7 linked regions of the Xenopus tropicalis genome follow. The protein of the gene in region 1 binds, or shares a complex with, the protein of each later gene. Links are inferred from orthologs where the notes say so. Each region holds a gene or a part of one and is shown in the gene's direction. Other genes may lie near its edges.

The links.
Region 2: prpf8 (region 1) and snrnp40 share a complex: the UniProt entries of both Homo sapiens proteins name them as parts of the U4/U6-U5 tri-snRNP complex. The link is inferred for Xenopus tropicalis from reciprocal best matches to the Homo sapiens genes PRPF8 and SNRNP40.
Region 3: prpf8 (region 1) and usp39 share a complex: the UniProt entries of both Homo sapiens proteins name them as parts of the U4/U6-U5 tri-snRNP complex. The link is inferred for Xenopus tropicalis from reciprocal best matches to the Homo sapiens genes PRPF8 and USP39.
Region 4: the proteins of prpf8 (region 1) and tssc4 are in contact, whole or in part, in a cryo-EM structure (PDB 7PX3), measured with the Homo sapiens proteins. The link is inferred for Xenopus tropicalis from reciprocal best matches to the Homo sapiens genes PRPF8 and TSSC4. Residues at the interface, in NP_006436.3 of Homo sapiens: Thr2087, Asn2088, His2089, Ile2090, Tyr2091, Val2092, Ser2093, Ser2094, Asp2095, Lys2108, Leu2111, Lys2112, Glu2184, Thr2219, Pro2220, Thr2224, Leu2225, Leu2262, Leu2263; in NP_001284587.1 of Homo sapiens: Pro153, Asp154, Tyr155, Glu160, Arg161, Trp162, Thr163, Lys164, Tyr165, Ser166, Leu167.
Region 5: prpf8 (region 1) and cd2bp2 share a complex: the UniProt entries of both Homo sapiens proteins name them as parts of the U5 snRNP complex. The link is inferred for Xenopus tropicalis from reciprocal best matches to the Homo sapiens genes PRPF8 and CD2BP2.
Region 6: prpf8 (region 1) and sart1 share a complex: the UniProt entries of both Homo sapiens proteins name them as parts of the U4/U6-U5 tri-snRNP complex. The link is inferred for Xenopus tropicalis from reciprocal best matches to the Homo sapiens genes PRPF8 and SART1.
Region 7: prpf8 (region 1) and lsm7 share a complex: the UniProt entries of both Homo sapiens proteins name them as parts of the U4/U6-U5 tri-snRNP complex. The link is inferred for Xenopus tropicalis from reciprocal best matches to the Homo sapiens genes PRPF8 and LSM7.

The regions. Positions count from the first base shown.
Region 1 is NC_030678.2:45,523,421-45,527,351, forward strand, and holds part of prpf8 (pre-mRNA-processing-splicing factor 8), read left to right. Parts: coding exon 1-148; intron 149-640; coding exon 641-859; intron 860-986; coding exon 987-1,199; intron 1,200-1,283; coding exon 1,284-1,409; intron 1,410-2,242; coding exon 2,243-2,348; intron 2,349-2,444; coding exon 2,445-2,635; intron 2,636-3,435; coding exon 3,436-3,555; intron 3,556-3,635; coding exon 3,636-3,825; intron 3,826-3,931. UniProt on the Homo sapiens protein: Plays a role in pre-mRNA splicing as core component of precatalytic, catalytic and postcatalytic spliceosomal complexes, both of the predominant U2-type spliceosome and the minor U12-type spliceosome.
Region 2 is NC_030678.2:79,149,807-79,154,190, forward strand, and holds the start of snrnp40 (U5 small nuclear ribonucleoprotein 40 kDa protein), read left to right. Parts: upstream 1-1,468; 5' UTR 1,469-1,540; coding exon 1,541-1,621; intron 1,622-3,298; coding exon 3,299-3,428; intron 3,429-4,014; coding exon 4,015-4,108; intron 4,109-4,384. UniProt on the Homo sapiens protein: Required for pre-mRNA splicing as component of the activated spliceosome. Component of the U5 small nuclear ribonucleoprotein (snRNP) complex and the U4/U6-U5 tri-snRNP complex, building blocks of the spliceosome.
Region 3 is NC_030679.2:125,759,289-125,763,803, forward strand, and holds the start of usp39 (U4/U6.U5 tri-snRNP-associated protein 2), read left to right. Parts: upstream 1-1,415; 5' UTR 1,416-1,440; coding exon 1,441-1,510; intron 1,511-2,340; coding exon 2,341-2,416; intron 2,417-2,492; coding exon 2,493-2,587; intron 2,588-2,674; coding exon 2,675-2,811; intron 2,812-3,621; coding exon 3,622-3,774; intron 3,775-3,973; coding exon 3,974-4,199; intron 4,200-4,412; coding exon 4,413-4,487; intron 4,488-4,515. Other genes in the region: UPF0561 protein C2orf68 homolog, read right to left, coding at 1,060-1,160.
Region 4 is NC_030680.2:22,340,431-22,345,133, forward strand, and holds the start of tssc4 (protein TSSC4), read left to right. Parts: upstream 1-1,742; 5' UTR 1,743-1,915; exon of another isoform or gene 1,916-1,990; intron 1,991-2,013; exon of another isoform or gene 2,014-2,338; intron 2,339-4,582; 5' UTR 4,583-4,655; intron 4,656-4,703. UniProt on the Homo sapiens protein: Protein associated with the U5 snRNP, during its maturation and its post-splicing recycling and which is required for spliceosomal tri-snRNP complex assembly in the nucleus.
Region 5 is NC_030685.2:13,551,676-13,556,038, reverse strand, and holds the start of cd2bp2 (CD2 antigen cytoplasmic tail-binding protein 2), read left to right. Parts: upstream 1-1,447; 5' UTR 1,448-1,496; intron 1,497-1,512; exon of another isoform or gene 1,513-1,593; intron 1,594-2,626; 5' UTR 2,627-2,627; coding exon 2,628-2,696; intron 2,697-2,841; coding exon 2,842-2,980; intron 2,981-4,009; coding exon 4,010-4,167; intron 4,168-4,363. UniProt on the Homo sapiens protein: Involved in pre-mRNA splicing as component of the U5 snRNP complex that is involved in spliceosome assembly.
Region 6 is NC_030680.2:38,866,080-38,870,010, forward strand, and holds part of sart1 (U4/U6.U5 tri-snRNP-associated protein 1), read left to right. Parts: intron 1-761; 5' UTR 762-763; coding exon 764-1,004; intron 1,005-1,373; coding exon 1,374-1,428; intron 1,429-2,893; coding exon 2,894-2,949; intron 2,950-3,694; coding exon 3,695-3,821; intron 3,822-3,931. UniProt on the Homo sapiens protein: Plays a role in mRNA splicing as a component of the U4/U6-U5 tri-snRNP, one of the building blocks of the spliceosome. May also bind to DNA.
Region 7 is NC_030677.2:92,742,208-92,746,588, reverse strand, and holds the start of lsm7 (U6 snRNA-associated Sm-like protein LSm7), read left to right. Parts: upstream 1-1,287; 5' UTR 1,288-1,313; coding exon 1,314-1,319; intron 1,320-1,523; exon of another isoform or gene 1,524-1,538; coding exon of another isoform or gene 1,539-1,610; intron 1,611-2,382; coding exon 2,383-2,473; intron 2,474-4,381. Other genes in the region: sppl2b (signal peptide peptidase-like 2B), read right to left, coding at 508-555. UniProt on the Homo sapiens protein: Plays a role in pre-mRNA splicing as component of the U4/U6-U5 tri-snRNP complex that is involved in spliceosome assembly, and as component of the precatalytic spliceosome (spliceosome B complex).

The DNA.
Region 1 (3,931 bases):
CACATGCTGTCTTAAAGTTACTTGAAAACATGCCCATGCCTTGGGAGCAGATCCGTGATGTCCCTGTGCTGTATCATATAACAGGAGCCATCTCATTTGTTAATGAGATTCCATGGGTCATTGAGCCTGTCTACATAGCACAGTGGGGGTAAGTGCATCTTGTAATAATATGGTAAATTAAACAGCTCTGTGTGCCAGTAGCCTGTGCAGGGCTAACAACATTAATTGATAATAAGCTTATGATCAAAATGCATTAAAAAGATAAAGCACAATCTAATTAAAAATCCTGTGCATTTATTAAGAGAGTTACTGCCATAGGTTTACATTGATGTTTCACAACATATTTGGTTAATTGGAAATGTTTTGTGATTTTAGTTCATGTAGATACAGTGCAAAAGTCTAACTTCCTAATGCAGTGCTAAGTGAAACATGCTGGGATTTTGGTGTTTTGTATCCTAGAAAATAGTGCAACTGATGCAATTACAGCCTGGCATATTGGGTCCTGAGAATAGCACTGCCTCAGTTTTATTGTCAGTAGTCATTTAAGTTTAATGTCCCTAAACCCTTTCTTTAAAAACAATCTCATATATGAATCCATATTCCTATTGACTTTGTATTTTCTATCACAATAATTTACCAGGTCAATGTGGATTATGATGAGGCGAGAAAAAAGAGACAGACGGCACTTCAAGAGGATGAGGTTTCCTCCATTTGATGATGAGGAGCCTCCACTGGATTATGCTGACAATATCCTTGATGTTGAACCCCTGGAAGCCATTCAGCTTGAACTGGACCCAGAGGAAGATGCTCCAGTCACTGACTGGTTCTATGATCACCAGCCCTTAAGAGACAACAGAAAGTAATGCTAGTTACTTACTCTATTGGTTTTTGTATCTGTAGACATAATGCTCATTTCTCCTTGTATTGGCTAATTTTGTCAAATAGTTTCCAAGCCATGTTTTATTTGTAATGCCTTTCATTTTCAGGTATGTGAATGGTACTACTTATCAGCGGTGGCAGTTTACACTTCCGATGATGTCTACATTATATCGATTGGCTAATCAGCTTCTGACTGACCTGGTTGATGATAACTACTTCTACCTGTTTGACCTAAAGGCATTCTTTACCTCCAAAGCATTAAACATGGCTATTCCTGGAGGGCCAAAATTTGAGCCTCTTGTTCGTGACATTAACCTGCAGTAAGTGATGTTGCTGTGATGTTTGTTTTTAGTACATTTCCTGGTGCAAGCAGATAAAATTGATTGATTTCTCTTTTTATACAGGGATGAAGATTGGAATGAGTTTAATGATATTAACAAGATAATTATCCGACAGCCAATTCGAACAGAATACAAGATTGCTTTTCCTTACCTGTACAACAATCTTCCTCACCATGTACATTTAACCTGGTAAATTGTTTTAATTTTTTTTTTTGTTTGTTGCTTTTTTTTATGCCTTACCTGTTAAACTAACTGTGTAAATGTCTTTTTTAGGGCTTTTCATTACTTCTATAAAGCTGTTTTAATTCATTTGTCTAACTCCGTATTAACTTGTAATTTGCTCTTGGAAAGGGTTAGCTTGAGTTTTCTGAATTTGTAAATTATGCGTAGGGCAGTAAATAAGCACTTTAGGATTGTTCTGTGAAGCTGTATTAAAGGAGACATATCATATAAAAATTAAGAATGTACCAGTGAATTATACTCCTCTAAATATTGAAGGATTGTGCTTAAAGTTGTCTCGGACTGGTTTATTGAGAAATTCCACCAAAACCCCACTAGTTTCGTCCATCTGTTCCACTTCCTGCTGGCTGAATTCTCTGGATGAGCTGGGGAGCTGGCAGCCCTCAGCACACTGCACTGTAGGATAGGAACCAATCAGCAGCTAGGCTGACCTCATAGGGAACTGAAGCCTGTCTGTGCTTGTGTGAGTGCAGGGCTCTGATTGGCTCTCCCCCCTCCTACTGTGCTTCTGGCAGGGAATTTTAGGACACGCCCACTCTTTATTTCACACTGGACGGAGAAGTGATACGATCTATAGGGAGCTTCAATAAAGGGGCAATTTTTACAGATAGGATTAACTTTTAGCCCAAAGTGATACCAGCACTGTATATTATTCATAATTGCCTACAATATTAGGGTTTTTTCCATTCATCCAATATGTCCTTTAACTTTTATGATTTACTTTTTGCAAAAGAGGAGAGAAGCTATTCGTGCCATGCTAATTGTTATGTTTTCATTCACAGGTATCACACACCAAATGTGGTTTTTATCAAAACTGAGGATCCTGATTTACCAGCATTCTATTTTGACCCACTGATTAATCCCATATCACACAGGCATTCTGTAAAGGTGAGAAATTCTAGAGTAAAGATAATTGGATACATTTTATGTAGGTTGGAAGTTATTCAAGGTTGTTGGTTTTCATTTTGCTTGCTTTCGTTATAGAGCCAAGAGCCATTGCCAGATGATGATGAGGAATTTGAATTGCCAGAATATGTTGAACCATTCCTTAAAGACACTCCTCTGTATTCAGATAACACCGCTAATGGAATTGCTTTACTTTGGGCTCCTCGTCCTTTCAACTTGCGTTCTGGTAGGACCAGGAGGGCTATTGATATTCCTCTTGTGAAAAACTGGTGAGCAAACTTTCATTCAGACTTCAGGTTTTATTGCAGTAGCTTGATATTTATTACTTTTCCTACAATGTTAACCTAGTTCCGTCAGAAAAAGTTTTGTGCAGGACAATTTATATAAAAGGTGCTTGATATTTAATTTTTAAAAATTTTACACTTAATATTCCTGCTGTTGGCAGTTCAGTGGATTTTTTTTTTTTTTTGAAGAGCCCATTGTGGCTAAAAATGTTTGTCTGCCAGGTAACCAGCTGCTGTTAAAGAGGAGGAAAACTCCGAAAACTTGCATATTTGTCTTTATTGCTGTACCTTTTACTAACTTTTTTTTTTTTGATTTAGTAAATTGAAAGAAAAGCTATACAATGCTGTTATGGTCTCTTGCTCAGGGCCTTTAACGAAACTGACTGTGACACAGTACTTTCCATTGTCGAAGAACAGGAACAGCACCTCTTGTCTTTTTATATGAAGATGTTGCAATAAAGGCATTTTAATTTAAAAAGACAAGAGGTCCTGTTCCTGTTCTTCGACATTTGGATATACCGATGGAAAGTGGCCATTGGGGAACCTGCACTGCCTCTAATTAACCACAAAGTTTGGTGCTGACTACTACTCTCCAAACAGTACTTTCCATTGTCAGCCTGTCCCAGAGTCATTTTGCCCCTGCAGATAGTCTTTAGATTATTGTTACAATATTATTTAAAGCTTGTTCAGAAATGAATAGGATCATTAAAATGGGATATTTGTGTTGACAGCATGTTTTCAGTGTTTAAGTAACTGACCAGTAAGAATATTCCTTTCATTCTCAGGTACAGAGAGCATTGTCCTGCTGGCCAGCCAGTAAAAGTCAGAGTATCTTACCAGAAATTGCTGAAGTACTATGTGCTAAATGCTTTGAAACACAGGCCTCCAAAAGCTCAGAAGAAAAGGTAAGCAAATTAAGTTACAATGCATGTAATCTGAAGTCTTGTAGTCTACTTTCTGCTAAATGATTATAATCCTTTTGCAGGTATCTCTTCCGTTCATTTAAAGCCACAAAATTCTTTCAGTCGACAAAGTTGGACTGGGTGGAAGTAGGCCTGCAGGTTTGCCGCCAAGGCTATAACATGCTGAACTTGCTGATTCACAGAAAGAACCTTAACTATCTTCATCTGGATTACAATTTCAATTTGAAGCCAGTAAAAACGCTGACCACAAAGGTATGTCAATGATTCTTAAATTGTGGGAATTTTGAAATTGATTCTTATCCTTTAGTGGATTATTTGCTGTTACATTTATACAGTGCCTTTCAAGAGTTTAGACCCT
Region 2 (4,384 bases), about 34 Mb from region 1:
TGCCTGCCATAGTTTCTCATAAGCAAAGAATTAATCCTTCATGCTCCACTACATCTCTTAATAAGTGTCTCTACTCAGAGGTGACCCTTATATAGACCAATGTCCACACCTTAATAAATGACTGCACTTATTACCCTCCCATTCATGTGAATAAGTTTCCAACCTTCTTAGATGTTAAGACAGGACAAAGAACTCATTCTTCTTGTGTCTCAATGTGTGGCACTCAATCTCTTTAGCTGCTAATATTTTATTTATTGCACTGTAATATAAAAGTATTGTAAAAAAAAAAAAAAAAAAAAAAACAATTGCATATAAAATTAGAGTCACATAAAGATATATATACAAATATGTATATTTCGTAAGTCTCTGAATAATGAGATAAATACGCATAACATAGGGCAGGGACACTTTCATTCTTTTTCACTGCAGGTTCAAACCCATACACTGTGTAACTGGGTCACTGTGACAATAGATTTGTAATACCTTATAGTAATCATGGCTGCTACAACACATAGGGCTAAGGAAGTCACCCGAAGTTTCCTCTTAAGGCAACTTAAGGCGACTTCAGAAAATCGTAGTGACGCATATGCCATCCCACCGGCGATTTACATTCCTGCTGGTGGGATGGCATAGCAGGGAGATTAGTTGCCCGCAGCAACAAAGAATTGCTGCGGGGCGACTAATATACCCGTCTGTCACCTCTCTAAATTTACAAATACGCTTGTAAATGTGGCTCTATGTGCAGAATAACATATGGCCTTAATCCTTAGCCTATTTACTAGCGTATAAGCCAATATCACCAGTGATGTTGCACATAGCAAACAATCAGCAATTAAGAGTTTAGCAGTCACCTAAAAGTTAGAAATCCAAAGCAAAGATCTGATTGGTTGCTAAGGGCCACATCACCACCAATGATGTCGACTTACACACTATAATAGATATGCTCCATATAGAAGAGAAAGTGAAGGCATGTCCAGCCTATGAATCCTTCAGTGTGCGCTAACAGCATGTAAGGCACCTAAAGCCAACAGCCCCTTTTACTGGAGTAGACAAAATTACATGTGATGTGCCTAAAAAAATTGAATCACCTGCAGAGAAATATCAAGCTGCGTTAATAATGGTTTATGTAATAGCCTATTAATCTTCTTCTAACTGACTTGTTATATATTTTACCTTTGATGGGCCGCCATTTCGCTGTCTCCTCCCCGGCCGATCACATTTAACCAATTACAACAACTTCTACGTCATTTTCTCTTTCTCCTGTATCAGCCCAGTTGCTTAAACATCCTTATACGCGCAACCCCGCCCATCGTACGTCATTACTAATGGACAAAATCGGCGCAAGCTCTGTTCCGCCCCTTAAAGGCTTTCAAGGTCACATGATTGTCTTAGAGCCAATCACCACTATAATCTTTATCAGGTAGTGACTGCGCAGGATAATTGCGTGAGCATCCTGCGCTGCTGAGTGGGAACGCAAGCGAGTCTTACAGTGTGGCTGGGTTTGTGAGTGTTAGACAAGCTGGAAGGAGTTCTTGGAAACATGATCGAGCAAAACAAGCGGAAGGGAATGGAGTTGGTGCCGGTACAGGCAAAAAAACCGAGGAACGAGTTGGTGGTTTCGGTAAGAATGAAGAATTTGAATGAAATGGTTGGCTTGGATAAGTGTAACCATTCATTCCTTGGGCATATTTGACTTGGACTTTAGGTAAAATTATAGACATAATCTAAATCGTACCATTATTTCCTTTATTAAAAGATTTAGACGGTATAAGAATAAGCTAAAAAGTGTAATCATAAGGCTCTAACGTCTGAACATAGGTAGGGGTATAATTACTTATAGTATTGACTCGTCTTGTGCACCCCACACAGCCATTAAGGACCTTGTGATTACACTTTGCTACGCTAATGGGTTGTGGTTTTTCGTTTATGGGACTTTCTAGTTGTTTTAATGAAGGTAATCAAGTTAAAGTTTTCTTTTTTAAAAAAAAAACTTTATTTCCAAAAGTTATAAATAGTAAATAAAAAGCTAGTATTTTTACTGCTATGGGACTTTCTCTTAACCCATTTTCATGCCTTTTTTCTGAAAGGGGTAGTTCAGTTTTAAAATGTCCTTTAGTATAGTGTAGACAGCATGACCTTAGTCTGTATATCTGTTTCTCATGTTTTAGTTTGATTATTTCTTCTGCGCCTCTAAGGTTTGTTTGTTTAGACCTCAATTCTCCTAGCAACCAAGAAGTAGATTGGAACTCAAAATGGCAAATAATTAGGGAAGGATCTCAATAGACTGATAAACAATAGGCAATATAACAATAATACTAAAACTGAATTTTAAGGGGAGAAAATATGCCAAAGAGTAGTTAAAAGAATACTGACGTGGAACGTGTCAGTATTACTGACAATGCAGCACTTGGTTGGGCTTCCCCCAGCCCAAACACACTTACCCCATCCCAACACTACTACACGCAGAATGTTACTTTAACGAGTTGTCTGTCAGTCACACTGGCCTCCATGCAATCCTTCCAACGGCTGGAGTACAGTTTACATTTGTATTCCTGCCTATAGAATGATGGCACCACCCACAGCCCGCATGTCTGCAGGGAGCATCTCTTTATCCAGACTGCTGGCTTAAAGGAACAGTAACATCAAAAAATTAAAGTGTTTTAAAGTAATTAAAATATAATGTGCTGTTGCTCTGCAAAAAACTGGTGTTTTTGCTACAGAAAAGCTACTATATAAATAAGCTGCTGTGTAACCATGGGGGCAGCCTTTCAAGCTTGAAAAAAGGAGAAAAGGCACAGGTTATGTAGCAGATAACTAGTAGATCAGCCCCATATAATGGGGGTTTATCTGTTATCTGCTAAGTAACCTGTGCCTTTTCTCCTTTGAATGGTTGCCCCCATGGCTACACAGCAACTTACTTATATAAACTATAGTAGTCTTTCTGAGGGAAACACACCAGTTGTAGCAATGCAGGGCAACAGTACATTATATTGTAATTACTTTTATACACTTTCATTTTTTGGTGTTACTGTTCCTTTAACTCTGCCTGTGGTAAGTGTGACTGGGCTGGAGGAGATTTGGGGTAAATCTTCAATAAAAGCAGTAGTGTTGTGCTGCATTATGGGTAATACTGACAAGTTCCTTACTGTTATAGGAATGTGTCAGTGCCCCTTTAAAATAGAATAGAAATGGTAATTTATAGAATACTAAAAATTTAAGGTGAATAAAATATTTCTTTAGGTAATAAATGGAACTGAATCTACTTTGATGTTTAATTCTCTGAACTTGTTGACTGCAGGGTCCCCCAAGATCATCCAGTCTTCAGGCTCCCATCATGCTGCTTTCTGGTCATGAAGGAGAAGTTTATTGCTGCAAATTTCATCCCAATGGTGTAACTTTGTCTTCTGCAGGATTTGACAGACTTATCTGTAAGCAACTTTCACTTGTTTTATACGCTTTGTATTTTGCAGCTGTTTGACTTAGTAGCAGATGTTGTTTTTCATCTGTAGAATCACACAATTAATTGGCCATCTATACGTTACTAATTAAGGATTAATCTGCACCTCCTGTAATTTTGTTATGCTTTTTAGCTCCTTTTTAGCACATTATCACACTATACAAGCTGTAACATTAATTATGAATGTTACAACTGATCAGATTAAGAAAGTTATGCAGGTATGTGTTATTTTATTTTTTCTTTTCTTGTAATATTTAATCAAATTAAATAAGCTACCATGTTTTGGCAGGTTTGCCCAGCAGGTAACTTATTCTATTAAACAAAGCAAGTAAATTTAGCAGCACACATGAACTTCTTTGTAGGTATTTAACTGATTTGCAAGAAAACTGACACCGTCTGAATCTGGAATTTACAAGGAATATGAAACCATTTAAACTTTAGTTTTATGCTGCATTGTACATTAATAACAATTAGAATTTGAATCCAAAAATGAAGCTATGTATTTTACCCTTAAATTGTGAAGTTATTGAGTGAGTTTATTTTGACTTGCCTTGTAGTGCTATGGAATGTATATGGCGACTGTGACAATTATGCAACTTTGAAAGGACATAGTGGAGCAGTGATGGAGCTTCATTACAATACAGACGGGAGGTAGGTAATTGTCTGGTCTGGGGCTTATGTAGTCATTTTTGTTTTACGGGTACTGAAAACTATCCTGTGTATTACACATTGGTGGTACTAAATTATGCATACTAATTTCTGTAAAATTGCAAAGACCAGGATGCCAGACACTGTAATATCTTTGGTTTATGCCTGATTTTCCTTAAATGTGTCAGTGCTGTTCTAAATAGGATTTTAGTTAATATAGCTATCCTTGCAATACTTGCCATTAATAGTGATTTTCAAGCCTTTTCCACTACTTTATTC
Region 3 (4,515 bases), on another chromosome or scaffold:
CAAGGTAAACATTAGAGGCGGTGGCACATGAGGAGGTTGTGTACATTTGCCCCTGCATGATTTCAGCTCAGGGGTGACTAAATGTTCTATAATGCCCAACCACTAATCACCAGTCTAGGCCCTTCCAGTGCACTCTTGGGTCAGGTGATAATCGTTAGGAAATGGCTAGTGCCCTGTTTTTGAGCATGCCCACACTGGTATATAGTAATTTTGAAAACAACCCAGAATGCTAGTAGACCAATGGCTGTGACAGTTTGACATGCAAGGCTCCTGCAAAGTTCCTAAAAGGTACCTAGTTTGCCCATGAGCAGTAACCCATATAGGGTTGCCATCTTCTGACTGGGGAATGCCTGTGTGGGAGGCAGAACGGTGATGTCATGGGGTGAGGCGGATGATGTTGGAGGTGTGGTCTATGACATTGAGGGATTTGGTGGGGTTATGACATGGCGATCGGTGCCAGGAGTTCTGTCCGATTTCCCTCATTTGGAAAATGGGGCAGGGAGTTTGACCCGGACAGACAGACGTGGCAACCCTAAACCCATAGCAACCAATAAGATATGTGCTTTACAATAGGTGACCAGTAAATTCTACCTGCTGACTGGTTCCATCAGTTGCTGCTCCTGGGAAAACTTAGTGCCTTTTATTAAATAGCCCCATCCAAGTTTAAAAAGGTGCGGACTTTAAAAGTGGGTGTGGTCACTTCAAAATCTCAACAGGAATCCGCTAGAGAAGCATGAATGGGACAGCCCTTTTGGAACTGAACAGCTGCCTCCACTGCCCAAAGGAGTTTGGCTACACAAATATTGGAATTTCAGAAGCAAATCTGTCATTTATTTAGCAAGGAAACACTAGTTCATATTTCAGTGCATTTGAAGTCCTGCCAGCTTTAGGAACACAAGTACCAGGCAATGCCATGGCAGGGATGGTATATGAATAGATTGGCCCCAACAGCACCAGTATAACCTTCATGGAAGCAGCCCCATGGCCAACACTACGTGAACAGTCTCAGTGTTTCTGCTTTTTAAAGGAAAAAGTTCCGGCCGCTGCCAGCCCTATTACCTCGCGATCTGATTCCGCCGGATATGGTGAACGAAGCCGTGATTCATATCCAGCCTCCCACCGGGCCCGGCTTTGCCCTGCACCTCCACTTCCTCCTGCATACTCCCGGCTCTAGTCTACTTCCAACACGGGCACCCTTTCAATCCCAATACCGCCCCCTAGCTACCGCTGGTAGGAACTATCCCGTCGCAGCCGATTGTAGGAGAGATAGCGATTGGCTGTTTTTGTTTCGACAAAGGCTAATGTAGCCAATCAATGCATCCCTGACATTAGCGTTCCGTGACTCGTTCCTGTTGTATAGGAAAGTGTACGGAAGCGGCGTGGGGGAGGGGCTTCAGTCCAAAGAGAGGCGAGACACGCAGGAGAGTCGGTGGAGGCAGAATGAACGCTGAGAAGCGGGTGAAACTGGAGATGGAGGAGGAAGACGACGACGATGATGATGATGAGAGAGGTGAGGGAAACTCATTCTATTGATGCGACTTGGTGTGAATAGTGTAACGGATTGATTGAGTAAAAGCGAATGAAAAAGAGTGGTGCACATGTGTTAGCGTGGGGGGATAATAAATATGTGCTTCCTCCGCTTGTGTCTGTCACTGTGTCAGAGAAGGAATTTCTCCAGGGCCCTCACCATTACTAGGGCCCCCACCATTACTAGGGCCCCCACCATTACCGGGGCCCCCACCATTACCGGGGCCCCCACCATTACCAGGGCCCCCACCATTACTAGGGCCCCCACCATTACTAGGGCCCCCACCATTACAAGGGCCCCCACCATTACTAGGGCCCCCACCATTACCGGGGCCCCCACCATTACCGGGGCCCCCACCATTACCGGGGCCCCCACCATTACCGGGGCCCCCACCATTACCGGGGCCCCCACCATTACCGGGGCCCCCACCATTACTAGGGCCCCCACCGAGAAAATATGGAATCCCCCCCAAAACAGGATCATTAAACCTGTTTTGTCAGTGCTCCGGCCATGTCTGTGCATGGTGTCCCAGCATGGTACCTCTAAAGCTGGACACAAGGATGGCTGATTGGACCATTTAGGTCATTAATTTCTGTATGAAACTAGGTTCACATTTGCTGCCACCCTCTGATCCCTACCTGTGATTTTAGCCCAAGTAATGGCAGTGTCACTCTTCCATAATGTTTTCCTGGCAATCCAAGTGTGATTTGCAGGCCAAGCAGTTTAAGTGGGTGATACAGGTGAATTGTGCATGTTTAACTTCAGAACTGTACATATAACATATATATAACACGTGCATGTAATGCTGGCAGTTGTAGGAAAGCACGGGCGGTATGACTTTGAAGACAGACGTAGTCGCCATTGCCCATATCTGGATACCATTAACAGGTCAGTCTGGTTGTTTTGCTTGGGACTGTGTTGATTATGTACTGCTCACAAATAACACTGGTTCTGTTCTTACCAGGAGTGTCTTGGACTTTGATTTTGAGAAGCTGTGTTCCATCTCTCTTTCTCACATTAATGCATATGCTTGCCTTGTATGCGGGAAATACTTCCAGGGTAAGTAAGTGGCACAGAGTGTGTTGTTCAGATGAGCCCTTATTTTGTCAAATTTTTCTCTTTTTTTTTTTTTTTTCCCCCCCCAAGGTCGAGGCTTGAAGTCCCATGCCTATATCCACAGTGTTCAGTTCAGTCACCATGTTTTCCTTAATCTGCACACACTGAAGTTCTACTGCCTGCCGGACAACTATAATATCATTGACTCCTCCCTGGAAGACATTACGGTACTTGCACATCCTCTCTTGCCCCATTTGTTTATGTGACCTTGGCATTTTCTAATATGAAGACAAAAAATCAGGATGGCCCAGTTCATATTTGCCCAAGGTGCAATCTTAGTGCCCAGTACAAGTGGTATGGCGTTCCCAGAGTTTTTAGAGTGCACTGTTGACTTATATAACACAGGTGTCGGTAAGTTAAAGACTCTTATACTCTTAGACTCTTATACTCAAGAGCAACAATCCCTTCACTAACTTGATGTGTCTATCACAACACATACGTCTCCTTTAGTGAGTTCAACCACAGCCAGCAATTAGGATGGGAAAGGTAGAATAGCATATTATCCGCAAAAGAGCCATGGATCACCTGTACTGCTCTGATCATGCAACACACAGCAGGGCATACATCAAAAAGCAGATTTTATGGTCAGTAACAGGGAAACATAAGCCCAGTGATGGCAGAAATGTCTAGCTCCACTAGCTGCCTGTTGCCTTAGCATTTTTCCCCTTCCTTTGGCTGGCCCCCATTCTTCAGTACAGTCTTTCAAAGTTCTTTTTTTTTTTTTTTTTTTTTTTTTTTTTTTTATATAAGTGTGAATCTACACATGGAAACAAGGACTGGGTTTCTCCTTGGATTGAGAACATAGATGGCCTCAGGCCATAAGAGAGAAAGGTAGCTGTTCTTACAGAAGTAAAGGGCTTTGTAAAATGTGCACATTATTTCTATACTGTCTCTGTCTGTTCAACTGTGTCACCCCCCCCCCCCCATATTAACTTTGCTTTTCATGTTTTTAGTAACTATCTCTTTGTCTTCTACAGTATGTGCTGAAGCCAACCTTCACCAAGCAGCAAATTGGTAACTTAGACAAACAGGCCAAGCTTTCTCGAGCATATGATGGTACCACTTACCTCCCAGGCATCGTGGGACTTAACAATATCAAAGCTAATGATTATGCCAATGCTGTTTTGCAGGTAGGAATTTTCACAATATACAGGGCCTGTGTAACAGTTAACCACCTCACCTTCACTGCAGCAGAGAATCATCTCTCATCTATTTCACTGGATGCCCTAACATTCATCAGTCTGAAACACTTTAAACACTTTTGCTCCCACAGACCATAGTGCAGATTTCATGGCCAATGTACACTAATTTCTTTATGGTCACTTCCAGGCTCTCTCCAATGTTCCTCCTCTGAGAAATTACTTTCTGGAGGAAGAGAATTATTGTGATATTAAGCGCCCTCCTGGGGATATCATGTTCCTGCTTGTGCAGAGATTTGGGGAATTAATGCGCAAACTGTGGAACCCCAGGAATTTTAAGGCTCATGTCTCCCCACATGAGATGCTCCAGGCTGTTGTTCTTTGCAGCAAGAAAAATTTCCAGATCACCAAGCAAGGTGAATATCTCCACCCCTCTGTCCTGTTTTTTTCTGTTTATCTGAACATTTCAGGTCTCGCTCCAGTTTTTCCATGCTCTTTGTCCCGTCTTTTCCTTATTTTCTATTCCATTGCATATGTTTTTTCCCCCTTTAGATTGCGTATATAAACCCTTAGCATTTTGGTACGGTTATTGGCAAAATCACCCACTACAACATTCTGCCCCAAAACAGGTGATGGAGTGGACTTTCTTTCTTGGTTCCTGAACGCACTTAATTCTGCTCTTGGGGGCAACAAGAAGAAGAAGAGTGAGTTTCTCTTGTGTGTTTTGGTAGT
Region 4 (4,703 bases), on another chromosome or scaffold:
CCTGTCCATTCTGTACTAGAATGGACAGGTGATCACCCCACTGGAGCAGCACAAGAGCAAGGCAGGAACAGGCACATGTCATTACTTACGAACATGACACTTTGCTGGCACCCAATATAAGGAATGTCAGAAAAGAAGCAACAAATGTGCCAGCATGCATTCTGAATCATTAGGTATCCCATAATGCCAAGAGTGCTCCGAACAGCCTCTGTACTTATGACTAGAGCAGGTCTCTGTCCATAAGTGCCTCCCCAGTATCCCTAGGCACACCAAACTGCCCTCGGTGCTATCAGGGGTGTCAAACAGATAAAAGTGGCCAGTGGACCCCTTGTTGCATTTAGCTGGCTGCTGGGCAACCTTTCCAGTGCCAAAGAAGAAGGGCAGAAAGCCTGGGCAAGTGGTGATGATAGTGGCATAGGTTACCTTAGTAACCTAACTTTATGGAGAGGAGACTCAGCTTTCCCCATGGCCAAAGAGGGACCCAAAGAGACAGGGGACCCAGTAAAAAGCAGCTGACATTCCCCATTCACAGCCCCTATGGCCCATGGGTGGTATGGGGGTGTCCAGAGATCCCAAGGTACACCCCTGGCTTCACTGTATTGGACAAGATTATTCAACTGCTTCACAGGTGCCAAAGAAGAAGGGCAGAAAGCCTGGGCAAGTGGTGATGATAGTGGCATAGGTTACCTTAGTAACCTTAGTAACTTAACTTTATGGAGAGGAGACTCAGCTTTCGCCATGGCCAAAGAGGGACCCAAAGAGACAGGGGACCCAGTAAAAAGCAGCCCACATTCCCCATTCACAGCCCCTATGGTCCATGGGTGGTATGGGGGTGTCCAGAGATCCCAAGATACACCCCTGGCTTCACTGTATTGGACAAGATTATTCAACTGCTTCACAGGCCTCATACACAGGCCAATTTCAGTTGCCGATATTTGTCCTTTAGACCTTGCCAACAAGCGGATCTTACAGTGTATGGCCCCCTTTATAATCAACTTGGTTCTCAGCTTCTTTTCTTACACAATACCCAGAAGTCATGGATACCATTACAAATCACAAGGCACTAGTACCCACCCAGGCGGCACACAATTATTTACCTACTGGGCACTTAGGGACCTAGACTGTGGGCCCCGCCAACAAGTCACCAATGGAAAAATAAGAATAATGGGCAGCACATGCATAACCAAGGCCCTGATCAACCCCAGTCACATCCCATTAGAGTAAAATCTTGCCCACAATCCACCTAAACCCTACCCACTCCCCCTGCCCTTTAATGACCAGTGAATCCTTCTTCTGGAGCCCCCTCTGCCACAGGGCCTCTGATTGCAGCACCCCTTTACCCCACTGATGGCAGCCCTTCCTATAGTAATTGGAAACACAATTGCAATTCTCTGCCCATGGCTATGATGCAGGCTACATGTTTGCTGAGATGTCATTTGGGGCAATGTAGTAAATCATAAATATCCCCATAGACACTGTATTGCCTGCTTATATAGTAACCTGGGATCCCTATGGAATGGGTTATTCTAGGTGCAACCATTAAGCAGAGATCATGTAAAAGCACTGCTAAATGCCAATTTGAGAGGGGAAAAAAGTACATAAACTTTCATAGAAATTTCTTTATTTTCCAATTACACAAATACAACTTTCCCCATTCGCGCCTTTAGCCTCGTTTGCAACACACACATGCAGTTGGAAGAACACCCCACTAGAGGGCGTTCTGAAGCGCCGCCCCCAACCTCGCACACTCATTGTTGTTTAGCACTTCCGCGTATTAGCGAGGTGCATGCTGGGAGGAGGCAGATTGAAGCCCGGGAAAACCTTATGGCTTGTTAGTTTGCGGTATGGAGGAGGCGGAGAAGAGAGAAACCATTATAGCTGAGCTGAGAGCGATAGAGAGCAGCGCTGCCAACCTGTGAGGCCCCGCTAGTGTGAATGGGAGAATGGTGACTATAGCGTTAGGCCCAGGGAGACAGTCACATGATGCAGTGTAAGGCGGCAGCGGCCCTGTGGATGTAGCGATCCGATTAGGGATATCCCTGCGCTCCTTCCTTGGTACCGCCATACCGGAAGTGTTCTGGGACGCGCATCCATTAATACCGTCCCGCATTTGTGCTTCAGGCATAGCTTCATGAGCCCGCACCTTGCCTGGCTGGCTGGGAAGGACATATAATGTGCAACGTTTGTTAAATATTTTGAGTGTATCTATCGGTGCTGCCTTCATTCTGGGGTTCCACTGTGACTTCCGGTATCACCCCAATAGGGGTGGGAGTTATAAATAAATCTCAACTTGAGGGTAGTGAGTTGGACATTGATGTAGTAAGCAGGAAAATATAAGGTACAGACTGGGTCCCACAATTCGGCCATATGCAATGGAATATTCTCCTGTTTGGTTAGAGATGCCAAGAAAGGCATAGGGAAGGGATTTTACACTAGAAGGAGCATCCCTGCTGGGCTCAGTAATGGAAATGACATGTTGTACAGTTCTGCACCTCACTTGGGTGGCGGGAATATCAAGGGGGCGGGGAATTAGAAGCACCCAATGACTGTCCTTAGAATACATTCAGACGTGTGATTGGATGATGGAATTGCATTTCTTATTATTAGAGATCTTTCTATTAATGTTGATGTGCCCTGTCTCTGACTGCACTGCTAGTCCTAACTCTTGGGAATGGTGATTCCTTCATTATTTATACATTGTCTGAATTTCTCTTTCATATTGGAAAATGCAGTCATACCTCCCAACTGTCCCGCTTTATGCGGGACAGTCCCGATTTTGCCACCCTGTCCCGCTGTCCCGGATAGCTGCAGATCTGTCCCACTTTTAAAGGTCTCTGCTCCCGTGACGCCACACGCACGTCTCCCCTTAGCGCCACAGCTTCTGCGCCGCTCACTTCAGTTTTAACATAAAGCCATTCACAGTGCAGCAGCTGCGGCACTCAAGAGACGTGCATGTGACGTCACGAGGAGGAGAAGAAGAGCCCTGGGGCACAGCCGGAGGAAGCTGGTGGTGGTAGGAGCAGGGGGTGCCACAGAAAGCAGGTTGACGCTGGGGAGGACACTGGAGGAAGGTTAGGGGCAGCTGGAGGACCCTGGGAGGCAGCTGGAGGATGCTGGGGGGAGCTGGAGGATGTTGGGGGAGCTGAAGGATATTGTGGAGGATGTTGGGGGGAGCTGGAGGATTTTGGGGGGAGCTGAAGGATTTTGGGGGGAGCTGAAGGATGTTGGGTAGGACGCTGGGAGGAGCTGAAGGATGTTGGGTGGATGCTGGGGGCAGCTGAAGGATGTTGGGGAGGATGCTGCAGTGGGGAGCAGCCCGTAGTAGGGGGACACTGCGGGAGGACCAGCAATGTTTTAGGGGGTCCCTGCTCTAGCGCCAATGCAAAACATAACACCTGGCTACCAATGTCTGGTCATGAGTTTGTCATTAAATACAGGTGCCACAGTGCATAATGAAATCCTTAGGGCCACAATATGTCATAAAATGATTGGGGCCACCGTGTCTGTCTTCTGGTGCACTTTGTGTATGTTATGCTTTTCAGGTGTGGTTTTGTAAAATGGGCCTGTTTGGGGGGGGCGTGGCCATAAAGTGGGCGTGGCCTAAAAATGTTGGCTTGCGCGCCAGACATTTCTGTCCCTCCTTCTGCTTTTCAAATGTTGGGAGGTATGAATGCAGTAGCATTGCTGGGTAGGCTGGCATGTTCCCATGATTTACTCTCTTATAAATACAGTCAGTGGCATGAATTTATATTTTGTGTTCGTTAAGTGACTCCTCGCTTTAGTGTTTTACACCATAACATTCCATTACACCTTTTTAGTGATCAAATTAAGGTGTTCTTTAAATTCTAAAATAGTTACTCATTTGCCTGTTATGGGACATCTATGTGTCTGTAGGCCTACAGTTCACCCTCTGTATACTGCCTGGCTGGGGTTTCAGGCCTGCCTGCCATTGCAAAGAGGTGGCCATTTAATTGAATTGGTATAAATGAATGTGGTTTTTGTCAGGAGAATCTACTTGGCAGTTAGCAAGGGAGGTGCTATGTGGGACATATTAATAGGCACCCTTGCAACTATTAATCATTTATTGGTGCCTATGAATTTACCTTTATAGATTCTAAGGTATGAAAATGGGTGGACACCCCTAGTGCCAACTTCTAGTGGCTCTGGTGCTGCTTCGGGATGGCAGAGATTTGCCAAAGTAAAAAATTCTTCCATGGTAGCTTCTATATTAGTCTGCATGTAATGTAAAATATGATGATGATGTTATGAATTTCGGACATGTTGGGACTCGATGTGAGGGCCGTTTATTTGGAAGAAATGGCCGTGTAGCTAATGTTAGGCTCTTCATGTAAAACTTACTGGCAGACCTTGCTAGGGTTGGCACGTAGTTGACAGGAGACAACTTGCTGACACTTGATGTGAGTGAGGACTGGTTATGTGGGATATATGTCTGTTTCAGTGGATATAATGAAATCCTAGCTACCGCAGGCTTTTATTCCAAGCAGAGGCTTTTGTTAGAACTTGAACACCAGTTAAAATGAACATTGAAGGTTCATGTGTGTCTATTTTTTTTTCTTCCTAGGGTGAAATCACTTAGAATATTGGTGGAATTCACAGACCCTGAGAAAGGAGAGCTGAGCCAGGCACAGGATAAGGTAATTGATTAACTGGGGAAAGAATAGCACTTTTTTTTTTTTTTAATT
Region 5 (4,363 bases), on another chromosome or scaffold:
TTGCTGCTAAGGGTGGCCCAACCAGTTATTAGGTTCAGGGGGCAATTACTTTTTCACACAGGGCCATGGAGGTTTGGATTTTTTTTCTCCCTAAATAATAAAAACCCTCATTTAAAAACTGCATTTTGTGTTTACTTGTGTTATCTTTGACTAATAGTTAAATGTGTTTGATGATCAGAAACATATTGTGTGACAAACATGCAAAAGAATAAGAAATCAGGAAGGGGGCAAATAGTTTTTCACACCACTGTATATGTTACTCCTTGTAGATTGTAAGCTCTTTTGGGCAGGGCTCCCTTCCCCTCCTGTATTGGTTATTGATTGCTTTATATGTTACTCCTTGTAGAGTGTAAGCTCTTTTGGGCAGGGCTCCCTTCACCTCTTGTATCGGTTATTGATTGCTTTATATGTTACTCCTTGTAGAGTGTAAGCTCTTTTGGGCAGGGCCCTCTTCCCCTCCTGTATTGGTTATTGATTGCTTTATATGTTACTCCTTGTAGAGTGTAAGCTCTTTTGGGCAGGGCTCCCTTCCCCTCTTGTATCGGTTATTGATTGCTTTATATGTTACTCCTTGTAGATTGTAAGCTCTTTTGGGCAGGGCTCTCTTCCCCTCTTGTATCGGTTGATTGCTTTATATGTTACTCCTTGTAGATTGTAAGCTCTTTTGGGCAGGGCCCTCTTCCCCTCCTGTATCGGTTACTGATTGCTTTATATGTTACTCCTTGTAGATTGTAAGCTCTTTTGGGCAGGGCCCTCTTCCCCTCCTGTATCGGTTACTGATTGCTTTATATGTTACTCCTTGTAGATTGTAAGCTCTTTTGGGCAGGGCTCCCTTCCCCTCCTGTATCGGTTACTGATTGCTTTATATGTTACTCTGTATGCCCAATGTATGAAACCCACTTATTGTACAGCGCTGCGGGATATGTTGGCGCTTTATAAATAAATGTTAATAATAATAATAAATAACAAATGTAATAAGTAAATTTAGTCAAATGGGAGTGGTATTTAGGGGGTGTGGTTGCACGCAGCGTTTATTTTTGTCCCTGTTTTCAGTTTCAAAATGTTGGGAGGTATGTAACCATGTCTGATTCATTGATAAAAGCGACCAACAATGTATTTACTTTCTCTCCTGGGGCCCTTCCATTCCTGGCTAAATGACCTCTCTCTGGTTATAAAACCTATAACTATCAGGAAAAAGCCCTGTAACCCAATCCCATTTTAATAACCAGTGGCAATAAATGACAATTATTTTTTAATGTTATTACTGGTGCTTTAACTTAAATTGTGCATTAATAAGTCAGTGGGATGCACCAGTGACAACTACAAGTCCCAGCATCCCCTGCAAGACGACTACTTTGTGACCTGCAGCAGCTATACAGTCATATTTCAAAGCGATACAACTTCATTTGCCCTACTTCCGGTTTGACTTCATCACTTCCTGCGCGTCATCCGGCTGCGACACCCGCGTCTCGACGAGTGCTTCCGAAAAACGAAAGGTTTGTTGGATACTTACCGAGCTGCGCTAGAACTAAGGGGATCTGGGAACTTGTGAGGCCTTTAAAGTTGCAAAACACCGGCCCTTATTTACGGCAGGTCGGCCCTGGGGGCGGGGCCTGTTTGATACGAATCCCCTCTCCGTTATTTATGTTATAAACAGGGTTATACTGAGGAACCTGCAGGGATCTCTCTTCCCCTCATGTTTCCTCACACCGAGCGGTTTTCTTGCATTTTCCTGGTTTTAGACTTTCCCCCCCTTTATTTTGTATACAAGTTCCCTTCTACTCACAGGGTCTCTTAACCCAATAAGGGGTAATTATATCTTAGTTGGGATCAAGTACAGGTACTGTTTTATTATTACAGAGAAAAGGGAATCATTTAACCATGACATAAACCCAATAGGGCTGTTCTGCCCCAATAAGGGGTAATTATATCTTAGTTGGGATCAAGTACAGGTACTGTTTTATTATTACAGAGAAAAGGGAATCATTTAACCATTAAATAAACCCAATAGGGCTGTTCTGCCCCAATAAGGGGTAATTATATCTTAGTTGGGATCAAGTACAGGTACTGTTTTATTATTACAGAGAAAAAGGAATCATTTAACCATGAAATAAACCCAATAGGGCTGTTCTGCCCCCAATAAGGGGTAATTATATCTTAGTTGGGATCAAGTACAGGTACTGTTTTATTATTACAGAGAAAAGGGAATCATTTAACCATTAAATAAACCCAATAGGGCTGTTCTGCCCCCAATAAGGGGTAATTATATCTTAGTTGGGATCAAGTACAGGTACTGTTTTATTATTACAGAGAAAAGGGAATCATTTAACCATTAAATAAACCCAATAGGATTGTTCTGTTCTAATGGGTTTCCAGATAAGAGGTCCAATACCTGTAGTCTTTCATAGGGATGCACCGACTCCACTGTTTTGGGATTCAGTTGAACCCTGAATTCTTTTGTGAAAGATTCGCTGAATCCTGGTACAAAGGGGCTAAAGAGAACTCCTCCTTTCCGCTATCATGCGATGAAAAGTCATGTGACTTTAGGGATTCGGTTTGGCCAGGCACTGGCCAAATCCTGTATTTAATGCATCCCTATTAATAGTGCCTGTTGCCTTTTCTATAGGATGTCTAAAAGGAAGGTCACATTTGTGGATGGGGCTGAAGACGACGATGATGAGCAGAAAAAAAAAAGGGTAAGTTAAGAAGCAGAGCCGAATTGCACCATGTCGCTTTTCTTTTTCCAAACTGATCCCAGTAACCTTTATAAAGACGCCATTATATAGACGGTCTGCATTAGCCAATGTGCATGTCTGACACGGTCTCACCCCTTTATTGAAGCTCCCGGATGTAGTGGGAGGCCCAGGAAGTCGATTTAAAGGGAAACATTCTCTGGACAGCGATGAGGAAGATGATGAGGAAGAAACCAGTGATGGACGTTCTGCAAAGTATGACATATTAGCCCCCGAGGATGTTGAAGGTGAGATTCCATAGCAGGGTGCCCGCTTTGTGCCTCTTGTAGTATTATAAACCCCTTTACAAGAAACAAGCGGACGCATAATATAAGGATGTTTGGGAGAGGGTAGCTAAAGATACCTGGTACTGAAACATCCTATGCATAAGTTGCCCCCAGGCCACCCTAGTGTATTGGTACCCACAGTAATGATGAGGGAGTGAGCTGCAGGAGCAGTGCTGCTTGCTTTGCTTATGCTGAGCTGGAGGCAGGCCAGTAATTCCATAGGCTGAACTGCAATTTTAAACTCTACTGCAACCTATCAAAAGATGGCACTTCCTCCAGCTCAGCATAACTTGGGCACAATGGGCTCTCCACTCCCAGTCACCTAAAGTCATATCAGGGTGTCTGCTGCAGTAAGTACCCATCAGCTGGGGGTGGCTTGGGGCAGTCATCTACAAAAGAAGATCATGGCCATTTTGCGGACTACTTCATACTGGATATTATAGTAAAGTCTTTGTACAGGCTATGAGCAAAGCAAATGTTATGCTGACAGATACCATAAAACTATGGCAGCATAGGGATTCCCCTGTACTAAGCACAATTCAGCAGGAACAGCCCCCTAAGTTTGCTCATAGCCTGTACAGAGAGATACCATAAAACTATGGCAGCATAGGGATTCCCCTGTACTAAGCACAATTCAGCAGGAACAGCCCCCTAAGTTTGCTCATAGCCTGTACAGAGAGATGCCATAAAACTATGGCAGCATAGGGATTCCCCTGTACTAAGCACAATTCAGCAGGAACAGCCCCCTAAGTTTGCTCATAGCCTGTACAGAGAGATGCCATAAAACTATGGCAGCATAGGGATTCCCCTGTACTAAGCACAATTCAGCAGGAACAGCCCCCTAAGTTTGCTCATAGCCAGTACAGAGAGATACCATAAAACTATAGCAGCATAGGGATTCCCCTGTACTAAGCACAATTCAGCAGGAACAGCCCCTTAAATTTGACTTAAATTTGTCTTAAATTTGTCTTTGCTCTTCTTCCTCTGCAGGACAAGAAAACGCTACTCTGGAGTCGGAGGGTGGTGTTCCGATTACTCCTTTTAACCTGAAGGAGGAAATGGAGGAAGGGCATTTTGACTCTGAGGGCAACTATTTTTTGCGTAAAGAAGCTCAGATTCGGGACCACTGGCTTGATAATATAGACTGGGTGAGTGAATATGAATTGGGAGAACATGAAACGTAATAGCAGAATTTGAGTCCCTTCAGGTGGAACAGGGTGATTACAATCCAAGAATCAAGTTGGGCACTGTATGAACACAGTCACATTAGATGCCTCTTGGAATGCACTGAACCCAGTATTCAGTTTGGGATTCAGGCAAGATTCTGCAGAATCTGTAAAATCA
Region 6 (3,931 bases), on another chromosome or scaffold:
TACAAATTACTAACCGTGCCCCCACAGGCCTAGTAATTGTCTGTGGCATCTTACAGCAGCCACTCTGGCATTTGGCAGAATCTACAGATTGTCAGTCAGGGCCTACTGTCTACATAACTAATACATTACAGTGGCTCTTAACTGACATTGAAATAGACATTAAAGCTTATATCTATCCTGTACAAATGCTAGGCAAGGATTTACAACTTCCCTAACATGGGAAACAACATGCCTAGATGCCTAATATTGCACATTTCCTTTTACTAATATTCTTTATATATACATTATCATCTTAATGCCATCTCTGTGGGGCATCTTTATTGGCACTGCTTCCTAACTTAAATTATTTAAACTCTCAGGGCACAGGACCTTACATAAAGGTGCCTTTTAATCCACATTTTGGTGCCTCTCATAAATCCTCATTATCTACAGAAATTCATAACATCCAATATCATACGGTATCTTGGCAAAACTTTTTGTGGTTATTCAGATCTCTTAATTAATAATGCTTTTATCTCTAAATACGTGGTAAAAATTTTTTATTCTTGCTTCTATTAAAGCCTTTTTGTGAAACATTTTTTAATCTTGCCGCAATGTGTACTTTGTTGGTAATCAAATAATAAAATATTTCTTATAGAAAATGCAATAAAGGTTTGTCATAAATATATTCACACTTATTTAACCAAACACAGCAGTGGATTAAAATAAGACATACATGCAAGCATCTTGATGAGAAGCTCATATGTATATTCTCTTTGCAGCCATGGGGTCTTCTAAAAAACATAAAGAGAAAGATCGTGATGTTTCCACTGCAAGTGGAGGTGATGAACGTCACAGGGAGCACAAGAAGCATAAGCATAAAGAACGAGAGCGTGAGAGACGCAAGAGGTCAAGGGAAAGAGAAAGAGAACGGCCACGAGAAAGGGAAGGCAGGTCCAAGTCAAGCAAAGAATCTGAATCACGAAAGATAAAGAAGGAAAAACTAGATTCTGTGTATGAGCATAGTAAGCAAAATTTTCATTCTTACTTTTGATGTTTTTTTAGAACATTGCATTCTAATCAAAATAGTTTGTGCAACAATTGTAAAGTCCGTTCATAAATTAAAGGAAAGCCCACCTCTGCAGGAAAGGTTATTTTCAGTATTGGGCAACTGACCTTTTATCATCAGTAGCCATTCCTAAATCTTTTTCCAGTTACCTAAACTACATGGTCGTCTGGATTAAAAATAAGAACGCTGGAGATATGGAGGGTATTTTTATATGCACAATAATGCATAGCCTGTGAAAATGGTTACTTATAACTTTGAGTTATACTTATTCAAAAAGGTTATGCGATTAGCCCAGTTAAGTGTTTTTCTTTCTCCTCCTTTTCAGCTATTGCTCCCAAATCTGCTGCTGGAGATTCATCATTGAGTATTGAGGAGACCAAGTAAGTACACGTCAAGGAACAGCATATCTTTCTTTACTGCTGCAGTTTAAAGTAAATGTAAAGGCTCAGTAAGCCATATTAGAAAATTCATTTCTTAATTCATTGTTTCCTGTGGTACGCAGGACCACACACACAATACATACTCCTTTATTTTAAAAAAGTATACTTTTGACCTGCAGCATCAAGATTTTTTTGATTTTTTTTTTTTTTTTTTGTGGGACATACACAGCAAAATCTGCTCTCCGTAAGTTAGGCACACAACAAGACAAGTTTTCTAACAGCCCTCTTGTGGGGGGGATTCTGTGTTGGATCCTGGGGGCAAGCAGTTCCACTTGAGGCTGAAAAAAACCTCAACATCACTTTTTCGATATTTGCTTTTTTTATTATGTAGTGTGTCTAGATTGTGGCTTTCAAAACATCTTCTAGTGTCCCTGTCCAGAACTGTATTAGTGTCACATTTCTAAAAGGCACTCTGTGCCTAGCAAAAATGGCCCCTTTATTGGAGGTCCCTATAGATCCTATCACTTCTCCGTCCAGTGTGAAATGAAGAGTGGGCGTGTCCTAACGGTCCCTGCCAGAAGCACAGTAGGAGGGGGAGAGCCAATCACAGCCCTGCACTCACACAAGCAAAGACAGGCTTCAGTTCCCTATCCGGTCGCCTAGCTGCTGATTGGTTCCTATCCTACAGTGCAGTGTACGGAGGGCCGCCGGCTCCCCTGCACATCCAGAGAATTCAGCCAGCAGGAAGTGGAACAGATGGGCGGGGCTAGTGGGGTTTTGGGGGAATTTTTCAATAAATCAGTCTGAAACACAACTTTTTAAGCACAATCCTTCTATATCTAGAGGAGTATAATTCACTGGTACATTCATAATTTTTATAGGATATGTCTCCTTTAAGGTAGCTGTTGAGCCTGAAACCACCCATGCACTCAGCAAGTACAGGTGGTTCTTTTCACCAAAACACAAATTAGAATATTGTAATAACCACTTGTAATAGCAGTTTCCATTAGGAATATGTCAGCAGCAGCTAAAATGCCTTTTTGTTACGCCTGATAATACATAATTTTATATACAGACGCTGTGACAGGAATATAGAAGTGTTTTAGCCTCTGCTTATTTTTCCTCACAGCAGCAGTCAAACCCACCCCACCCCTAAGTTCTGTAGATCTTGCTATAAGCATACATGGGGGGGGGTCACATGGGTGCAGTGTGATTTCCCACAGGTGACAAACACAAGCATCTTACTTGTGCCATTTGAATCATGCAATTGTTTAAAAACACAGAAAAAAGGCATTTTATCTTTAATGATTCAAATTGTTTAGATTTAGGTTTCAGGGAAATGTGGAATATGGAATATAAATGTTAACAGTGTAGCATATTTTCCTATGTGCTTAGAGAAGTGCATTTGGTGTTGATTACATTGTTTTTTACTTGGCATGTTTACAATTTTTTTTTCTTTTGATAGTAAACTTCGTGCTAAACTTGGTCTAAAACCTCTGGAAGTAAATACAGTTAAAACTGGTGAGTTAATAGTACTTCATGTCAGCACAAGTGAAATGTACTTGTCTTACTGCAGACTGTTTAGTATTCTCCCCTGACAAAATTAAACACTTTTTACAGAAGCCAGTAGGACTCATCACCATCATTCTTCTTTGTATATATCACCAGCAAGTTACACAGCGCTTTACATTAATTTATAGCAATAATTTAACAAACCAGGGTTACACAAGAGCTTGCAATTTAAAGGACAGGGTGCATCTGCATGCACAGTCTTTCCGACTTCTGCAAAAAAAATATAAAGGTGTGCAAGGTTTGGGCAGATTTTGAGGCCGAAGCAGGGATATGCACTCGGCTAAAAGGGGTTGGGGAGAACACTGCTCTTGCAGACATCATTACTTTATAAATTAGTCTCCGCTGCAACATGCGTTAATAATGTAATGAACAAATCCTTTAACGGAGACCAGAGGCACAGCAACATAATCTTATTTGAATCAGTCTCAAGTTTTATGTGACTATAGGCTCTAAAATTATATTCTCTGGGGTGAATGTGCCCTGTTCTCAAAACATTAATTTTATGTGGATTTTTATTTTGTAAAAATCTATAACTTGTACAGATGGCATCAACACTGGCATTATTATTTTTGTTTAGCGCTAATTTACAAAGTTAACAAATGTCGGTATCTTACTTTACCATTTTTTATTTATATAATGCTTTTTTTCTTTATTGTGAAAATGTGCAAACATTTATTCTGTTTAACATGTGCAGAGAGCGGCACTAAAGAAGATCCTGTAGCTGCTTCTGTCATTAATCCTATTGCACTAAAACAGCAACAAGAACTTAGAGAGAAGTTAGCTGCTGCAAAAGAGAAGAGATTGCTGAATCAGAAATTAGGGTAAGAGGAGAGTGGTGCGGACCTAAAGTGATAAAAATAAGTCAAAACCTCAAAAGAATGGGTATGTGCTAGCTGTGGTAAAATACATGTTGGGAATGCTTTTCTGCCTC
Region 7 (4,381 bases), on another chromosome or scaffold:
ACAAGTCATAAATCATGGTCTGCTATATCATAACACATTTTCAGAGTTAATTGTACTACATTTCTTGCCCACCATCACTTGGAAGTATTCATATTCTTCAGACAGAAGAACACAAAGTAGGGCCTACAACAGACCCTATATCTCAGATATCAATACTGGCTCAATCAGGTCAATTCGTAGCAGGAAATATTTATTCAACAATCTATACGAATTTAATGACTGTCACTAGGAAGCCCGTGACAGCAAACTCCAGTTAAATATTTAAATACTGCGTATAGGAAGCTTCTGGGGATCAGCAAAGCGTGTGTACACAGAAAAAGTCAGGAATTCGGAACAAGGTGGAAAATCATGGATGGGCGGGGCTTTCAGAAGGTATAAAAAAATTAAAGTGAATTTTCGAAAAACAGCAGCACCTTCAATATACAGGTGGCAATGGCGAAAATAAGGTAAATAAAACGCGTAAAAATGATGTTCTGCATTATGAAAATGTAATTGAATATCACTCACCTCTGTTACAAACAAACCCCATAACAGGAAAATCAAAAGAAGCTTCATTTTTCCAGGTCACGAGCCTTAGCAAAGCAACACTCAAACCGCCAAGCACCATTTGTTAACTGTTACTCAGCGCCATCTCCTGGGCCTGCGCACTACATCCAAGTCTTCAGGTTATCCTCCCATTCGCAATGTATTAGTGACAGGTCCCAAAGGCCAAGCCCCATAGTAGAGCAGTTCAATAGAAAGCTGTAATGAAAATGGTAGATGACTACAGGATGTGACGTAACTACGCACGCTACACGCCATATTTGTTTATGGAAAAGTGATTCCAGAAAAAAGTGAAAGGGTGAAAAAAAAAAAAAACGCCCGCCCCACAGGCATAATATTTTTTACAGAGTGTGGGTAATTCAAAATGACTTAATCCATCATATAATTTTGCGATTTGTAGACAGAAAATAAGTTACCATTCACAACTATTTATTAAATTAGGGTTATACACCTAGTCACGGCGACATTATAATTGTCGAGGGCAGTCAATAAAGCTATTTAAAAAAAAAGAGAAAAAAAAGTAGACTCTTCCAAACCAGTTAAAGTCGTAGGGGGTGTGAATGAAATTCCTCAGTGAAAATAAAAAATACATAGCGAAGCACTTTCTTAAGAAAACTTTTAACGTGCTTAACTAGTTTAGTCTAGTACTTCATAAGGATGGAAGAGAGAAGTTAGGAGGAGCAAAAAAATTAATCATAATTAGGTGTACAGGTGCCCCCAGAGCTGATTAAAATGGGTACGCCTGCCCCTAGGAACAGAGGCGCGGGAAGATGGCGGTGAGTGTGTAGAATTTAGTGAGCTTTCGTCCGGTAGAGTTGGTCAGTCATATATAGTGGATTATGGAACGTTTTTTCTTTTTATTGCGTAGCGGGTACCCATGATTAGAACATATTGCTAAAGACTGTAAAACAGTGGGAGGTGATTAAGAGGAACCGTAATTATGCGTCCTATCACATCCACTTAAGACGCCGCGCACGCGGCAAAGTACTCATGCGATGAGGTATATTCGCAGCCGTGTGTTTCTTCTTTTTATGAGCTGGGTTATCCAAAGTGTTGTATATAAAGTGGTCAGTAAACAACTCTTAATTATATCCGAATTAAATGTAGTTCCAGGGAAGGAGAGGCAAGGAGCCCTAGGAGAGTCATGATACAGATCTAATGACAAACTGATCAAAACAATTGTTTGAATGGTGCTCCTTTCCCCCCCCCTCTTAAATGAAGACAATACCCCCCATACATTGTAGGTCTCTATAAAATATATTGCATGAACAAGCTGAAATGTAAAACTCTGCTTTATCTAAAACCATTTTCATAAAAATATACTTTTTTTTTTTTTTTTTTAAGCAGATTGTGCTATTGGGTACTCCTAAGTAGAAGATAGCCATTTTAAGAATTAAGGATTGCATAGGATTCACAGTGTACAAAAAATGCAGAGACACACACACACACACATGCTAGGTCACATCAGCCAATGAATGGACATAGTTTTGTCTTTTGCTTCCAAACCTTTCCCTGTTAGAGCTGCATTATTTCTGGTCATGTGATCTCTGAGGGAGCACACAGCCCATCACTAAATGGTGGCTCAAGGGAAAAGATATAAAAGGCCAATATTTACAGATATATTCCAGTTTTGCGAGATTCTTTAATAGGTCACTTAACATAACCAAAAGATTATATTTGTTTTTTATTAAGTATTCATTCTGGGGGTATAGTTTTCTTTAACCTTATCTGAGCTTTAAAACTTTTGGAGCCATATTTTCTCAAATCCTCTTACTATATAGCCTAGTATTGCTCTTAGCAGCTCTAAATGTATAAACATATTTGATTGTTTTTCCCCAGGACAAAGAGAAAAAGAAAAAGGAAAGCATTCTAGACCTCTCCAAATACATAGACAAGGCAATTCGAGTAAAGTTTCAGGGTGGAAGAGAAGGTATGCTTTCTAAATGTGAATTTCTAAAGAATTCTACTTTGCCATGCATTCTTAAAACAATTATTACTACAAAGTACTGCTACTAAAGCTTTGCCATACGTTATAAGATTCACTTGTTTGACAAGGTCGCTGAATGAGTGTGTCTTTCACTGATATGGACCTTAAGGTGGGCAAAATTGGGCTGATTGTATCAAAATTGTCTCTATGCAGGCAAGTAACTAGGACTACAGCAATCACAGATGTAGTCCTTGATTCAACAGGAAAATCAAACCTGCAATCTACATTTTGTCTGTATACAGTATGCTACAGTATGCAAGACGTGGCAGTTATGCTGTAGCTTAAGTACTTGAATTACTTCCAGAATAGTTGCTGTGTGCTACAATTTCAGAGATAAGTTAGTAACTTAGGTTGGAACATATTCAGAACATATTCAACCTTTTATGTCTAAATGAAACCTTTCTAACTGCTAATTGCTCCAGTTTTGTAAATTCCCACTATTGTTATCAGATCACATGAAAAATATGCACATTTTTAATAAATCCAAATTGTTAGGGCTGTTTATTTGCAAAGTGATTGCATTTTAATTAATGCAGCTGGATGTTCCTGACTTGTCTCTGATTTTTCAACTTTAGGTCTTCTAAGGTAAAGACCTACATTTTTTCATCTGTGCATTTCTTTGCAGCAAAAGATACTATCCTTTATTTTGTGCAATAGAAAATGGAGAGAGGTGCTGCAGGGGTTGCTTCCTCCTTAGGCAGCAGGGCTGATGTTCCTTCCCCAACCACCCTCACTCTTTTTACTTTTGTGCATTGCTTCCCCTGGTAGCCTGCCATACACTGCCATTGGTTGGCAAGTTTCTCACATATTAGGCACCCACTCCTAGTAAGTATAATTACTAACTTTCAAACCCAAGCCAGTGCTCCTCCAGCCTGGAGTACATTCCCTGTAAGTGCCGCCATCTTTTATCAGTCTTCCAGGATTTTTTAAAACCCTGCTTCATCTTCAGTAAACCTTCATCTAAATAAATGGTACAATCCAAAAGTTACGAAATTTTCGTATCCGAACGAAACAATCCGGCGCAAAAAACTTTCTGACTTTGAACCTTCAATGCATGATTTTGGAAGCCTCCCACAGGACTCAATGGCACTCTGCAGCTTGAATGAATTTCAAAACTTTTGTAGTCGTTGCGATAATTTCGATTTTGTCTCACAAATTTATTCAAAGCACAAAAAAGTTGCGGAAATTAACAAAAATATTGTGGAAAATACACAAAGTTCTATAAATTAGAAAAAATACAAATTTTTTGTAATCGTACCCATTCAGACTTTGATAAATCTGCCCCAGTGTGTTCACATACTTTTTTTGTGTGCGCCACAATTTGTTGTGTGTGTAGGGCTTAAAATGTATGTGTGGATCCTCCTCCAGCTCTAGGTAATTTTAATAAACCAAGTGCATTTTTCATTTTAAATATTTTTATTCAAATAAAAAATCTTAATGTATAGCCAATGCATAGGGAAATGTAAAGGGAGTGATTCTTATTTTAAGGGGAACACCTTTTATTCTGGTTCTCAAAATTATTGTCCAGCAGTGCTAGCAGGAACTTTGTATATAAATAAAATAGAGCAATTGAGTAAGTAGAATGAAGGATCCAGCCAATTTAATGCAGTTGCCTAATTTGCTGCCACTAAAATTGTTTACAACATTTGTGGAGGAAGTAGTGCTAGGTAAGGCTGACATAACTGAGTTCATTCTAGTGTAAGACTGTGGAAGCAGTTTGAAAAGCATCTTTTTGGAATTCATAAACTACTTTTGCAATATCTGTAAAGTCTTTAGTAGGTTTCAACCATACAAGATGTTAAATCTCGCCCTGTAATACACCAGCTAAAATGACATTTTCCTGAGAATCAT